Pelodiscus sinensis: one gene and its partner. The protein of the gene in region 2 interacts with the protein of the main gene of each other region in a biochemical or structural test. Links are inferred from orthologs where the notes say so. Each region holds a gene or a part of one and is shown on either strand. Other genes may lie near its edges.

Region 1 (7,963 bases), on a different chromosome or scaffold from region 2:
GCGGGAGAGTCGCCAGCTGACCCCGGGCTCCACGCAGCACTGCCACTTGGAAGAGGCAGCAAGCGGGGGAAGCGACTAGTTGACAAGCATTTGCTTATTGGATAGTCAACTAGTCATTCACATCCCAAGTTTCAATGCATTTATTACAAAACCTGGAGTATCAGTATATTATCAAAGTGGTAACTGAACACAGTGTTTTGTATTAATGCATTCCTGAAGTTAATCTTTCATATTTTTAATACACATTTCTGGATAAGATTTTTCTTCTTTGACAAACATCAAACAGGCAGAGTCAGTGACAACTTTTAAATGCAACTTCTAGTTAAATATAAAGACTGTTGGTTTGTTTGGCAAAGAGGTCCAGAGCTAGTCACTCATTACTAGGGATGTTAAAAAATGGGTTTTTTAATAACCGCATAACAGCTGAAATTTTACATGCACGTTTACACCTGAGAGGGAAGGCAGCTCTGTGGGAGCCTATGCACACAGGGAGCAGGCTTTTAAGCTGGCTCCCACCGAGCTGCCTCCCCTCACTCCATCCTTATCCCCCCACCATCACAGCCAGCAAGATGGTGGGGCAGGTGGCTCCCTAAGAGCCCAGTGCTCACAGGGAGTCTGCTTAAAAGCCAGCTCTCCACAAAGACTTGCCCTCACCCTGTGCTGCTGCCTGTGATACAGAGGCCACAGCATGGGGGGGAAGAAGGTGGGTTGCATGTAGTCAGCCAGGTTAATCGATGAACCTGGGCTTCTTAGTTAACCATTTAAGCATTTAGACTGTCACATCCCTACTTATTACATACCTCTAGCCTTGATATGGGCTGTGGACCAAAGCTTTCTTCCTCAGTTGATGTCTCTGCATTTGCTTCATATTGCATTTGCATGGCCATTGCACCAAGTATTAGATACAACTTCCCCTAAGAGAAAATACAAAAAAGGGGTGCCACTGCTCAAACATGCCTCTCTTCTACAAGAGACCACTAGTTCTTGTACCAGCCCTAGCACTGGCTGCTCTGGCCCCAGGAGCCCAAGCCCGAGGCCTGCTGCTGACAGCACGCTGTTCCAGCCAGACTGGAGCAGTCCACCGGCCAGGATTCTTTTTAGTTGGTAAACTGGTTAAACATTAGGTTAATCTAATCCAGTTAACTGATTAATTGGGATTTTACATCATTAGTCTGAGCAGCCCCCGCCCCAATCCTAACACCCTGCCCAGACTTCCCACACCATAACCCTCAGCACTGAGACCTCTCTCATACCCCCTGCCCTGATCCCTCCTCATACCTACCAAACCTGGCTCCTGCATCCCCCATTCAGAGTTCCCTGCCCTGAGCCCCTCATACAACCCAATGCTGACTCCTGCATCCCCACACCATAACTCCTGCACTCCCTGTATACCCAAGCCCTGAACCCCCCCAACTAAGGATGTAAAATCTAGGTTACTCAGGTAACCAGTTAAATGTTAGGTTAACCTAATGGTTAATCAGTTAGCTGACTAGCAGGATACCTCACTACTCCAGCCCTCACGTCTCCATCCCCTCTGTCTCTGCAAGCTCCTACACTGAGGCTAGGCTGGCTCTACTGGCTCCCAGACCCTGCGCTGGAGAAAGGACTGGCTCTGCTGTCTCCTGGCTCCCATGCTAGGGTGGGGGCTGGCTCTGGCTCTGCTGGCTCCCAGCCCCCATGCCTGTGGCAGGCTGAGGATGGGGGGCTGCTCCCAGAGGAACCAGTTAACTATTACCTGGTAAGCATCACCTAGTAATGGTGATGCTTACCAGGTTCCCATTCACATCCCTACACTCCACTCCACACTTAAATTTCTTACAAGTACTGTTGTATCTCAAACCCTCCCCACCGCTTCAAGGCCCCCCCCACGGGGGGGTGGGGGGGGGACACAGGACAGGTTGTGATAAATTTCTCACCAGTGCAGTTCTAAGTTACTTTCACCCCTTGCTTTTAAAAGTCCAGGAGGCTCTGAAACCAAAGAGATCTATGTGAAGGAACATAATAACTGACATATGGGATGAGAGATAAAGACCACATACTGCAGTATTCTATCTCCAAGAGTGACTAATACAGGTGCTTCACAGAAGGTGAAAGAATCTCACTGCAGAAAAATGTGGCAATCTGTTCCCATCAGGCCTTATCCTGGACTTTAATATTTGGAGATGGTCTTAAGTCTCTGAAGCATAAGCTTTACTATCGCTTCCAAATTGTTTATAATAAAGTTTGACAACTTGGGACATTCAGATGTACCCATATGGATCTCCAAGCCCTTTTTTTAATCCTGCTAAATTCTTGCCCTCAATGACATCCATTAGCAATGACTGCCAGTCTAATTACAATCTCTCCCCTTGTGAGATTCTTTCCCCAAACCTTTGATCACCTTCTGAACCCCTTCCAAGTCTGTATTACCCTTTTCTCAGAAGGTTTGCAACTGCACAAGACAGTCCAGAAGCAGCTGTATCACTGATTTCTATGACAAGATTCCCCATCTGCCCTCTCCTCTCCTAGTACCATTTGTAGTTCCTAGGACTTAGCTGCATGTTGAGTTGGGCTCTGTGTTGAGCACAGACCTTTGTTGACTTGTCTCCCGTGACGCTTTCAGGAGCTGGCACAGGACCGGGTGCAATGTTCGTATTTTTGGTTCAGCAACGAGGGGTCATCAAAAGCAACGGACAGGCAGGGCCCAGACGCAGCCCTGGATGACCGTACGCAGCTTTGAAGCTAGTGGGTTGCCCGGGCGAGGCTGAGCGCGGCGGAGACTGGAGGCAGCGCGGCCCTGGCTCGCCCAGCGCGGCCCGGGGTGATACCGGCCTGTGGGCCGGGCCCTGAGGCCGCGCAGCTTCCCCGGTACCGCCCGGACCGCGCTGGACGGGCGAGCCCTGCCCAGGCCCCTCGGGCTCGGGGCGCTGCCCCTGTCCTGGCGGCGAGGCCGCCCCGCACTCACCCCGCCGCGGCGCCGGCTCCTCGCCCCGGTCCGTTGGCGTTCCCCGGCCGCTGGCAGATTCGGAAAAGCCCGCCAGTCCGTCACGTGACGCGTGCGCGTCGCCCCGCCGCTTCCTGGCGCTGCCTTGTCTTCGGGCTGCCCGGAAGTTGGTGTTCCTGAGCATGCGCGTGAGAGCTGCGCGTGCTCAGTAACATCTGTTGAAGCTGCTGCCCAGTCTCTGGGGATTCCATCTGACTCCTGTTCCCCGGGCCTGGCGAGGGCAGGCCGAAGAGGTGGAAGTCTGGCGGGGCCAAGCACAAGAGGGGCAGAGGAAGGAGCTGTGCCAAGCTAGGGACAGAGGGCGATGTATTCCAGCCTGGGGCAGGAGGATGCAGTGACCCCACCTGGGGTGAGTCCTCTGCACTCGGGGGTGCTGGTTCTAAGAGCTATTGAATCAAAGTGTAGCCCTGCAGCTATAGGTGCTGAAGCCCCCCACACTCCTAGTTCCTGCTTGCAGCAGAGCTCCTACAGCCCCTGATGAGACTGTGCATCGCAGCATCCAGGGCTCTGTGTTTTAAGCAGTGGTGCTGCACCTCCATGCCTAGCCAGAGCAGCTCTTCCCTGGTTTAAGGATGTATTGAGCTGCTGAAGACTCGCTTCAGTGACATATTGCTCGCTCGCTCTCGCGCGCGCGCGCACACACACACACACACACAACCCCCCTCCCCCCAAATGATACAGTCGTCATTCATGGCTGTAGCAGTTGAAAGAATAACTTATGAGTTCATGTGTCTGCATAAAGCCTCATAGCAACTAACAAATTTGTGAATTGTTTTTTGGCTTGCCCGAAGAGGACGGCCTTGCCCTTGTAATCCATCCCAGACTTGATTTCACGCCTTTACATTATTTATTTTAATGGTATTTTTATTGCACTTGGCACTTTGCATTTGCCTTTCTTTGGCATTCTCAAGAGAAATGTCATGCTATTTATATTTGATAGCAAATAATCATTGAAGATATTAATAGTTGTTAGTAGAATTCAGCAATCACATCTCAGCATTTCTAATATAACAGCCTGTTTTTAATGCATTTATAATTTTTAAGTCTACATGTTTGATTAGAACAGATTTACTAATTGGGATCATGTGAATTCAAGAATAATTGATTTATTGGGTAGCTGTCAAAACTGCTGTAGTTTCCATGAACTGCCACTAGAAAGTGTCTTTTGTGATATATTGATTGAAACATGACCAGGTAGATCATTGTTGCTACTACTGTTATATAATTTCAACAAATCTTATATGAAGTATCAAGTAAGATGTCAATAGAAAAGTTATCGTTTGCTGAGTATGATTATGGTACTAATATGATGCATATGTGTCAGTGTATGTAAAGGGAGCAGTTGCTCCCAGGTGATTTAAAGGGGTTCAGCCCCCCCCAAGCCATTTAAAATTTCCACTGGAGCACTGCCATGGCCCTCTGGGTGGCTCTTAGGGCTACCTAATGAGGCAGAAGCAGCACACTACAAGCAGTGATGGGGGGGGAGGAGAAAGGAAGGGAGGAGTGCCGCAGGCAGTGCCATTCTACCTGAGACACCCCACCCCTTCCAAGAGCTTGGTGCTACCCTTCTACCTTGCCCAGGTTACCCTGTATGCCAATATAATTCATGTATTAGGACCAGTAGCCAGAGCTATCTCATCCATAAGACAGGTTGGAGTGGCCACCCTAGGCCCAGGGGATTGTGTAGGAGGCAAGGCACAGGGCAGCAGCAGGGGTCTGCTTCCCACCCCTGCCCTCAGGTGGCTGTGGGAGCCTCCTCTGCTCCATCCCCCATCCCCCAGCTGCTGCATTCCACTGCACTGCTGTAGTGAAGCATAGCTACCCAGCTGTGGAAGATAGTCAGCAGAGCAGGCTGGAGCAGCCATGGACCTGAGGAGGGGGCAAGCCTATCTGTTTGGATTTAAATTAGGGATGATATCTAAATTTAGCAGTTACACAATTATTTGATAGTCCCTGGTGGCAGGGGCCGCAGCCTCTGTCCTCAGGGAGTTTGAGCCTCCCGCAGACAGGTATTGCTGCCGCAGAGCAGCCTCTGGTTGAGGCAGGACCAAGCTTGCTGCGGACAGAGGCTGCTCTGTGGGATGCCAGTGCAGCCTGGGTCCATGGGGAGCTTGAGACCTTTGCAGATTCAGCCCCTTGCCATTTTGCACTGCTGCCTCTCTAGCAGAAGCAACACTGTAGGGGAGAAGGCTCCATAGGATCTAGTGCTCACGTGGAATCAGCTTAAAAGCTGGATTCCCACAGGCACTGGCTCTCATCTCCCCCTCCCTTGCTGCTTCTGACAGAGGGAGCTAGTGTATGCATGGGGGGAGGAGAAGAGAGGGGAAATACATGTAGTCAATAGAATTAATAAGCCTAGTCTTATCAGTTAGTCATGTAATCAACTACACATTGACAGCCCTAGTTTAAATAGCCACTCATTAAGTTTAGTGGTGATACAAGGACTGAGGAAGCTGCTTTTCTGACTACTTGTTAGCTTGTGTGGTAAAACAAAAGTTTACTGTCGTTGTTGGATTGCTACGTCTTGTGGGAGAATAGCCACCAACTCAAGAGGCATTTACCCTACTTCTCAGCAGTTTTTCTCTGATAAGGTACCAAAAAAAAGGGGTAAGCTCAATGGTACCAGTCTTCTATGTTGATGCTGACCATTTCTGGTAGATGGTACTGGAGCCTTCTCAGAAGGCTTAGAAAAGCTGCAGTACTTTCCTGACTCACTGGTACTGAAGGGAGCCCTTCACTTTGGATACTGAGCCTCAAGGACCAAGTCTCTGAGTTTGCTGTCCTGCTTGGAGGGTGAAGTCGCTGGGAGGTGGATTTTTTAAGAGGGGAGCTCATCTAAGATCTTTAGATGAAATCACTGAAGCTTTCCCTCTTATATGCAAATGCCGCACTGAGATCAAAATAGTGTCTTGGTCTGGCTCCAAAGCAGGACAAAGAGAGCACTTCATCATTAATAGCTGCAGCTTGATTTCCCGATTCCTCTCTATACAAAAGGCAACCTTTAAACCCTATTGAACTGGATGTACACAGTGGAAGATTTTCCCAGAGGAAATGAAACCTCTCAAATAACTAGTAACTACTACTATCCAATATGAATGTGAAAGTGTAACTGTGTGAATGGTTAACCAATGAGCCTGGGTAAAATAAAGCCTGGCCCAGCCCTTTGCCTGCTGGCATGGAGGAATGGCTAGGCCAAATTTGAATGAGTGACATTGTGTCCTGGCATGCAGGATCATAGTAATACCACTCTAATTTGTCCCAATTTGATTGCTTTCCCCCCCATCTCACCCCTGCTGTCCTTTTAGCATACTTGAAAAGATCTAACACACAAGTCAACTAAAAGGAACCTTCAGTTAGACACATCTGGTAAGGGGCCACAGCCACTTTATTCATGATTTATATAACAATTTTCCTGTAATAAGAATATCAAGGCATGGTTGCAGTTAAATAGGAATATCTACATATCAGTGGTGCATATCTTAGAATGACCAAGATCTTTATGGCATTCATCTGCTCCTAATCAACAAGGACAAGAAAGCTATTAGAACAAAATGTAATGGCATGGTGTCACTGTAGACACTTATGGGAAATTGTCCTACCAGACAAAGTATTGCCTAATCAGGATAGCATTGTTAGAAGTATCTACAAAGTCTTCATGCTTTCCATTAAGATGTTTATTGAATCTGTCTTTTAGTACTGGCAAACTACCAGGCGTGTGGACATGAGCTACAGTAATAGCCATCCATAGAGAGGATTGAGAAGATTTTAAAGGGGTACAGCCTGTTACATATTCAATAGTAAAATACCGGAGAGCACAGCCTAAGATTGATACAGTATGTATACACACACATTCGGGTTTTAAAAGTCAGTATTTCATGAGCCACCCCCCCATAAGTCAATAGTGGTATAAAATTGGGCAGGGGAGGGGGGAAAATAGGGTGAATCTTAAGTAGAGAACAATCTTCTTCCCTTTACTTCTTACCTTTTATTTGCATTATGCCATTCCAACATAGCTCAAATATCTCAAGGCAGAGGCATTCACTCATTTGTAAAGTGTCACATATGTGGTACTATGAAAGTACTACTTGATCTTCTAATTATAGGGCTATCAAGCAATTAAAACATTTAATCACGATTAATTGAGCAACTAATTGCATGCGCCTCCCCTTTGAAATGGCCTCGCCACGGCATTTCAACGGGGCAGTGCTGCATGGAGCCCAGGATCATTCCTAACTGTCAGGATGGTCAAATATTGGAATAAATTGCCAAGGGAGGTGGTGGAATCTCCTTCTCTGGAGATATTTAAGAACAGGTTAGATAGACATCTGTCAGGGATGGTGTAGACGGAGCTGGACTCGATGACCTCTCGAGGTCCCTTCCACTCCTATAATTCTATGATCAGCTGGAGTCCCCAGCTGACCCCTAGCTCCATGCAGGCTGCCCCTTGGAAGTGCCGCAGCTTTCCAAGGGGCAGCACATTAAGAGCCTGGGATCAGCTGATCCCTGGCTCCTAATACGCTGCCCCTTTAAAGCACCAAAATGGCACTTCCAAGAGGCAGCGCAGCATTAACACCTGCGATTAACATGTTAAAAACAGAACGTGTTAATGCTGTCCTGCATTAATCACAGGCGCTAACGCAGGTCAATTGACTTCTTCTTAAACCCTTGTACTCCGAGTGGAGCATAGGTCATATACAAGTCTCCTCCACTTCACTCTGTCTTGAGAGAAAACTAGCTGACTCTAGGAGTACCCCAGTTTTTGTCCTTCAATTGACAGCCCTAATTAATTATATTTCAATGGGCTCATTCTTTTGCTTAAATTGTCAACTTTATATTTGGCAGGAGCTAACATATGATGGTAAATGCCTAACTTTGTAAAACGCAGGTTCTGAAGAGTAGTTCTTGCCTAATGATCAGCCTTAAACAAGTTTATAGAGTATAGAATTAAAAAACATTTCCACTCTACATTTATGATCATGC
Region 2 (8,437 bases):
TATGGGAAGAGGGGAGAAATACAAATCATTTTTAATCATTGATGATTTTAATATTTTAACACACTTACTATTTCCACAGCATCTATCTGTAAATAATCCTAAAAATGATATTGAATTTTCTGGATCTTGTGGCCTTGGGAAATTCACAGTGAAGAAGTTTCGCAAACTAAATGTCCTTACAAAATAAGCCTCGGGCACATTTATTTTGAGAAACTTTTTTACCTGCTATTTAACTGTGTTCCCAGAGAAAGCAAATATTTCAGAGTTATCTGAAGTACAAAAATGGCAAATATTGATCTGTCTCATGCTTGAACAAAGTTACTCTGAGTAGCATAAAAATGCTAAATAACCATTGTCAGAATCATATTTTCTAGCTTAGTTAGTACCATGCTGTCTCAGAAGATCTTCTGAATTCAAATGTGCAGGATAGAGATTTAGTAAAAACATTTCAGCAACATATTTTTCTTTCTGTCTCTCTCTTCTAATGGGAAAACATAGCTTGAAATCTAATCAACTGTACAGTAAAAAAACATTTAACCAGCCACAAAAGCTCACTATCTTGTTTTCTTTTTGGGGGGAGGGATAAAAATAATATTTCTCTGTCCCCCATTACCGGTTCAAGACCCCCACAAACTAGGGTGACTAGACAGCGAGTGTGAAAAATTGGGACAAGCAATGGGGGGACGGGGAGGGTCCCTATAAGGGGGGGAAAAAACAAATGCAGAGACTGTCCCTATAAAATCAAGACATCTGGTCACCCTGACATAAACGTAAGGTGGTGGTGGTACTTGCTTCCAGTCCGGCAAGATGCTTTGCACAAGCTAGCACTCCAAGAGCGTCATAATAAAGGACTGAGACCTCACTGGCTACCTTGAAGCCCAGAAAAACTGAGCATCCACAAAAGTTGTCAACTACACAATGTAAAATCAAAACAATTCTCTTTATCTAAGGTGTTACTAGTATAGTAAATCCAAGTGTTTCAACGGAAGTGTGATATATTTCAGTTGCCCTTCAAATAAATGCAAAAAGGTTCATTATGACATTCTAGAGTCAAATCATCCAAATCCTTTACTAAAAAAATTCAAAAGATTCAAAAATTTGAAACCTAAAACCAAAAACATTTTTAAAATATCTGTCCTAAGCAACATTATGAAGAAGTTGCTTTCCTTGCTATTAGCTATACAAGAAATCCCACTGGGGTTTCACAAACCTGGGAAATGGCAATCTAACCATGACAAAAAAAAATCCTTAATAGCTGACCATACAGAGAGGTCACCAGAAACCTTAGGGAGCAGAAAAGGGAAAACGCAAAGGCTAAAACCCTTCTTTTTAAAACCATTTCATACAATTTAATAAATTAATATTGTATCCTAATATGCTAACTAAAAGCAAAAGGACCACAAATCAAAACACCTACCATGTTCCACGAAGACATTGCAGTGTGGGCCTCCATGCCTAGATGATTCTTTCTTCCCTGCTCCTTTGATAAAATGCAGGGCAGGCAGACTTGGCCTTCTCTGGTCCCCAAGAACTTTTCCAGGCTGCTGCCCCATAAAGTAACAATAGGCAATCTTCCCCAGAACAAGCAGTGTAAGGACTGAGATCCCTGATCTTCCAGGTTGGCTGAGAGTTTGCAAGTAAAATATTTTAGGTGTGTGCGTTCGTTGTGTTTATCACATCAGCAAACAGCTCACATTAAGCAGAGTTCAGTCAGGTGCACAGATTCTTTCAACACTTTAGAAACTGCAACAAGATTCTTCTGGTGCCTTTATGCAAAGCTCTGTTATAAGATGTTCCATTTATTTAGCAGTTACAAGTGTTACCAAAGTTTCTTGTTTGTAATGAGTCTTCCACTGAGTAAGTGGGAGCTACTTTATCTTACCAATAAGAAAACCACATATAGGGCCACCCAGGGCAGGAAATAGTCATTCCCATTGCAATCAGTGTCAGGATTTCTTTTTTTCCTTTTCTTTTGCATAGCACTTAGTTAATAAAGGCCAAAAAGCCAGTGATTTGGCTTCAAGTATTATTAAAGTGAGAGAGAATCAACTGTGTCAAAGTCATTTTAGATTTCCAATTAAACAGTTCAAAGTCTTTGAGGATCCATAATGACCTTTGAGTAAGGGGGATATTTCAGAGGAACTTGCAATCATTGAAGACCAATAGGTTTGCCTTCTCTGATAAGTTTTCTGCTACCTCTCCAATGCTCTGAACAAAGTGAATGGGCACTTCGGGATCATTTTGGAGCAGAAACAATAACAATCATTGTGACAATACAAGTAATGAACTACCCATCTGCACCAGCTTGCTGCTTATAAGGCAGAGAAGCCAACCCGGGCTTGTTCCTAATTGTTCATGAAAATACAAATGCCATTCTACTTGGTCCAGTCGATGCTGGTGGCAGGAAAGAGGCGCTAGTCCAGTGATGCTCTCCAGGAGGAAGGTTTCTGCACAGCAGCCAGAAAAGGTCAAGTTGGGGTGACGGGGCTGGCTTCATCCCAACTGGGAGCCTAGCACTGCAAAAGGCCTACTTGGTGAATTATGTAGTACGGCTCTGGCTCCTAAGGCTTGGCAAGAGAGTCTGAGGCCAAGAACCCTAATCCCCACAGGCCCTGAATGGCCCCCAAGGGCCAAGGATTCCAATAGGACAAGGGACAGAAACCCCGGAGGGGGTGTCGAACCCCAGTCTGGGGTGGAGGAGAAGGAGCAAAAGGAGACAAAGGGGATGAAGCTCGCTCTGGTGGGGGGGAGGGACGATCCAACACCCCCGGTGAGGGAAGAGGACACACAGCGGGGGGGGGGGGGGAGTGTTAAGGCCTACTCCGAGGAGGGGGAAAGTCCCGTGGGCGGGGGCGGGGAAGGGATTAAGCCCCGGTCGGGGGGGCCCCAGCGGGGCAGGGAACAAGCCCGCCAGGGAAGCGGGGCCACTGACGGGTCAGGCGGGTGACGGGGGCGATTCCCCCCACCCCGGGGGGCGGCTGCGAGTCCCCGGCTCCCCCCGGCCGGTCACATCCCCGGCCGGCCGCCGCCTCCTGCCGGCTTGTCGCCGCGGGGCTCTCACCGGCACCGGGCGGGGCGAGGGGGTCCGCTCCCGGCGCGCTCAGGGCGAGAGGAGCCCGCGGCACACGGCGGCCATGACAGGAACCTGCTAGCGCCCGAGCGAGGCTGCGAGGGGCGGGGCACGCAGCGGGCGGGGGCGGGGCTTGGAGGGGGCGGGGCGAGGGAATAGGGGGAGAGGAGAGGGGGAAAAGGAAGGGGGTAATAAAGGGGAGACAGAGGGGGGAGGAGGAGAAAGGGGGGAAGGAAGGAGGGAAATGGGGTAGAGGGGGAAGGAGGAGAAAGGGGGGAAGGAAGGAGGGAAATGGGGTAGGGGGGAAGGAGGAGAAAGGGGGGAAGGAAGGAGGGAAATGGGGTAGAGGGGGAAGGAGGAAAAAGGGGGAAGGAAGGAGGGAAATGGGGTAGAGAGGAAGGAAGGAGGAGAAAGGGGGGAAGGAAGGAGGGAAATGGGGTAGAGGGGGAAGGAGGAAATAAAGGGGACACCAAGGGGGAAGGGGAGGGATCAGAGGAAGGAAAGGGGGCCTGGCAGACATGTTGATGCACTGCACAGTATCAGGCCCACCAAGCAGGATTGCCCACCATAGCCCTAATTACACCACCTCAAAGGGGTGGCCATGTTAGTCTGTAACTTTAAAAACAACCAGTGGTCCTGTAGCACCTTAGGCTACATCTAGACTGCTGCTTTTTTTCGGAAAAAGGTACACAAATTGCGCACTGCAACTTGCGTACCTTTTTCCGATTGATTTTTCGGAAGAGGCTTTTTCAAAATTAGGTCCATCTACACGGGGTCAAATTTTGGAAAACCTCCTCTTCTGGAAGAGCCCTTATTCCTCATAAAATGTGGAATACAGGGCTTCCGAAAGAGTGTGTCTGCTCTTCCAAAAAAAATGTCGGAAGAGCAGACGTGTTCCCTGGATGTGGTGGTATCCCAGAAAAACTCCGTAGTCTAGACATAGCCTTAGAGACTATCAAAACTATATAAAACCTTGAGCTTCTGTGAGTAAAACACAAGCAGTCCCGATGGTTTGTTGTTCAGGTCACGTGTTCTCGCTCTGTGCTCTCTGTCCTGGCAACATCATGCATTTAGGAGACACACCCTCCCTCAGGTTGCTTCCCGGGTTGGATCTCTCACCTGACCCATCTTACACACCCTTTCCAAGGACTTGTCTACCTAGGGAAAATGACCAAAATAACTAGTCCGCTTTGAAAGTAGATTAAGCTAAATCAGGAAAGGCACACTTTTATATCAAGAAAAAGAGTGCCCCTATAGAGAGTTATTCCAGAATAGCTATCATGCTTTAAATTCACCCTCTACTTCATTTCAGGACAACTTCCCTGTGTAGACAAGCCATAAACTTCACCTTGCATTTGGTTACAACTGGCTATACAATACTCTATGGCTGTTTAGGGGCTAACCTCATCTATGTTGTCTACCATGTACCAACAAAGTCCACTGTATCCTACCACACTCTACCCATTGTTCCCTATAATTTTGCCTTGGGCATCTGGCAACACAAGGTTTACTCCCTGACTTGATTTAGAGGTACCAATGAAAGCCCTGCAGGGGATTATTTCTCTTGTCTCACTGCTGCTTATTTGCTCTTCCCAGAGCATGGGCTGCAAGCCTGATGTTTCTTTTCCAAAACCATGAGTTCAGGAACCTGCCCACATTCTCTGAATGCAGCCATCCAGCTGAGCCCCCTGAGTACATCTGTTTTTCTATGCTGTTTGCAGGGTCTATAAATCCTGTTGTTGGCTATAGCAGACATTTCGATTGTCAACTCCTTGGGAACTGCTCCATCTCTGTTTCAGAGAAGGACAAACACAGCGACAGTGCTTAAAGATTGCCAGGTTTCTGAAACAATCAGTTCCAGGTTTTAAACTCATGAAGGCTCATGAGCCTGCCCATCCCTAGGGTAGCTCAGAGGGAAGGCTCATGGTCCTTCATGAAAAGACAGTGGTTTTCTTTCCAGCAGTGATGGATCCTCCTCTCACAAAAGCTGGGATTTCAATTGTACCTAAGGGAGTTAGGTACCCATTTTAATGGGAGTTGGACACCTAACACTCTCAGACAGACTCCTTTGAAAATGGTAGCCTAGGATAATTTCCCTCTCAGTGCAAATGATAGGGAAGGGTAGGAATCAAAGGAACCTACTCATACAAAGGAATATGTTGGTTCAGGAATTGAATAAAGAGAGTACGTGAACCCAGAAATGTCCTTTGCAAATGGCCTTCAGGATTTAGTTGTGGATTTAGTGAACTAGCAGGATTTGCATAGACCACTGGCGACCTCTACTGACTATTTAGAAAAATATTCGAACGCCTGAAAGGAAAGAACCCCTTACCTGCTGATGCTTCTGGTCAGAGGCCCCTGCCCAACAACAGTGGGTTCATTACTTAGCTTCACAGCAATTAACATGTTCACACATTGTCATCTATTTGACAAGGAACCTAACAGGTGGAAACTTCCTATGCTAAAACCAAAAGGAAACAAAAACTCGGACCTAAAACAGATGGGCTGGATTTTGAACTAACTTCTCGTGCATTTCTGACAGTGCCTGCAGATAAATAGGTGTGCAGAGGCGTAGTGAGGGTGTTATGCGCCCGGGGGCAAAGGAAAAATTTGCGCCCCTCCCTCCCCCCCCATCGCCATGTGGCACAGCACCGAACCTGGTGCACAGCTGAGGGGAACTTGTACTACAGTTTGGGGCCGGGCTCCCGCATGCACTAACCCGCCGGTGGAGATGGAAGAGGGGTCGGGCTTGGAGCAGCGAGGCAGGCAGGAGGCTCCAGCTGCCGGTGGCAGGCAGAGTAGGAGCACGTGAGCTGAAGGGATAACGGAGGGAGCAGAATGGGATTAAATTGGAGCCTTCCTAGCATGGTGCCCAGGGGCAACTGACCTCTCCGGCCCCCTCGCTATGCCACTGCCCCCCCTCCTGCAGATCTATCATCTGATGCATGTGCAAGATCTGTGAGAGCCGTCCCATGAATCTGCAGTTAGTGTCTGTGGCGCCTGCTTCTGGGTGATGTCTCAATGCTGCCACATTCACCTCCAAAGAGGGGGCTTCCCAAAGCAGGCCCTTGCTACTGACCCTCAAAGCATCCACAGGTCCAGTCTCCTTTCAATGGGCCCACTTCCCAGGGCTCATTGATCTCGGATCTGGCTTCCATCCCCTCTCCAACCTTTGCAACTGCCCAGAGGTGCTCACCTTCCGCCTTCTACATTCCCACCTCATTCACCCCACAGGGACAGTCTCTGCCTCACTAGTCCTAGGGACTATTCTACCAAGACGTAATACAAAGTTTATATGTAAAAGGACTCACTACAAAGCTAAACACTTCAATGAGAGAATGATTAATACAGAGACATGTCTACATCTGCTGCAGGGAGACACCTCTGCCTGCCTCCACCCCTCTCCCCCCAGAGTCTACAGCCCCATTGCAAAGCAGGGGAGGGGAAGAAAAGAGGCTGAGGCCCATCCAATGGGACCGAAGCAGTCATGAGCAAGCCATGCCCGGGAGCCATTCTCCTGTCCACTGCTGGTGCTGTGTTGCTTCAGGCACGCTGAAATGCAGTCACCTCTAGGGTGGGCTGGACAGCTGTTTAACACCTGCACAAGGTTTCAGGCAGGGATCAGTGCAGGCTGCCTTCCTGCAGAGCCCCCATCAGAACTAAGCCTCCTGGCTTAGGAAAAGAATAAACAGGAGGTTGGAAATTAACCCGCCCAGTCTCATGTCCCCTAGGCAGGGACTGAGCCATCTACATTAGGCCCCAGCTGAAGTATCATGTTCAGTTCTGGGCGCCACATTTCAGGAAACATGGAGAAACTGGAGAAAGTCCAGAGAAGATCAACACAAATGATGAAAGTTCTAGAGAACATGACCTATGAGGCAAGGCTGAAGGAATTGGCTGTGTTTACCTTGGAAAAGAGAAGACCGAAAAGGGACATGAGAGCAGCTCTCAAGTATCTAAAAGAGTATCATGAGGAGGAGGAAGAAAAATTGTTCTCCTTGGCCTCTGAGGTTAGGATGAGAAGCAATGGGCTTAAATTGCAGCAAGGGAGGTTTAAGTTGGACATTAGGAAAAACTTCCTGCCCATCAGGGTGGTTAAACACTGGAATAAATTGCCTAGGGAGATTGCGGCATCTCCATCACTGGAGATATTTAAGACCAGGTTAGACTGATGAGGGATGAGGTAGGGCAACTTGTCAGGGATGAGCTAGGGCAACTAAACTTTGGAAGCCCCAGGGGCTACACTGATACTTACAGAACATGTTGAGGGCCTCAACTTAAGTGTGGTTACATATGCAAGAAAATATATACAAATAGCTTCTCTCACACTGACAGGCATGAATACAAAGATTAAGGCAAGACTACACAACACACAGGCCTCATTTAAGTCAGCTCTGCTGATATTCATAAAATGCAACATTTACCTGATTTCTACCCATGTGACAGCACTTTTCATGAGCAATGACAGTCCAAGAATTTAACTACTAAAACACACATCAACAGAAGATCATTACACTGACTACTTTTTTGTTTTGCCTCCCACTTGCCAGCCACGTGTTGATCCCCACATAAACCCAAACTGCACCGCGGGGCGCAAACGAACTGGCCATGGGCAGCATACCATGTTATTAATAAATATTTTTAAACCTTTACCTTTTCTGTCTGCTGCCATGTCTCCTCTCCTTGCTCCATCATCTCCCCTGGTGCCTGCTGCCCCCCAACTCCTCACTCTCCTTTGCTGGCCTGACTCCTGCCCTTCTACGACCTTTCCCCCTCCACCAGCCCTTCTCTCCCTCCTGTGCCCACTCCTCCAGGTGAGCTACCCCTCCTCATCCCCTCTTCTAACACCTCTCTCTACACACCTGCCCTGCCCCTCGCCTCTGGTGCTCGTCCCTTCCCTGCAGGTGTCTGCCCTTCTGCTTCACCCGCAGAATACCCTGGCACCTGCACCTTCCCTTAGCCCTGCACCCTCCTGGTGCTCCCCCTTCCCTCACTGCCCCTGCCCCTTTTGCCCTCTTTTTCCCTGATGCCCACCCCCTCTCCACTCTCTGCCCCCATTCCTCTCATGCCCCTGTGCCCTCACACGACTTGCTCCATCCCCACCTTTCTCATGCCCACCCCTTTCAAGCCTTCTCCCAGCACCTCTCCCTCCCCCTCTAGACCATAATGCCCTTCCCCTCTCCTCTCCTCTCCCAGCATCACCCTGTCCCCCCTCCCACTGACACCTCCCCTCCTGCCCTTTCCCTCATTGTCTGAACTTGGCCCCTTGCCATTTGTATCTTCCCTCTCCCTTCCACCTCCACACAAGCTCCTCCCCTCCCCTCCCCACAAGCCCCTTCCTCTCCCACCCCTTTCCCCTAGTTTTCC

The links. The genes of interacting proteins can lie anywhere in the genome.
Region 1: the proteins of ABL1 (region 2) and RAD51 form a complex in vitro, tested with the Homo sapiens proteins (2 studies listed by BioGRID). The link is inferred for Pelodiscus sinensis from reciprocal best matches to the Homo sapiens genes ABL1 and RAD51.

Annotation. Positions count from the first base shown.
Region 1 is NC_134714.1:63,239,672-63,247,634, reverse strand, and holds the start of RAD51 (DNA repair protein RAD51 homolog 1), read right to left. Parts: upstream 3,087-7,963; 5' UTR 2,945-3,086; intron 2,789-2,944; exon of another isoform or gene 2,571-2,788; intron 1,969-2,570; exon of another isoform or gene 1,917-1,968; intron 915-1,916; 5' UTR 888-914; coding exon 801-887; intron 1-800.
Region 2 is NC_134732.1:13,784,469-13,792,905, reverse strand, and holds the start of ABL1 (tyrosine-protein kinase ABL1), read right to left. Parts: upstream 3,164-8,437; 5' UTR 1,554-3,163; coding exon 1,418-1,553; intron 1-1,417. UniProt on the Homo sapiens protein: Non-receptor tyrosine-protein kinase that plays a role in many key processes linked to cell growth and survival such as cytoskeleton remodeling in response to extracellular stimuli, cell motility and adhesion, receptor endocytosis, autophagy, DNA damage response and apoptosis.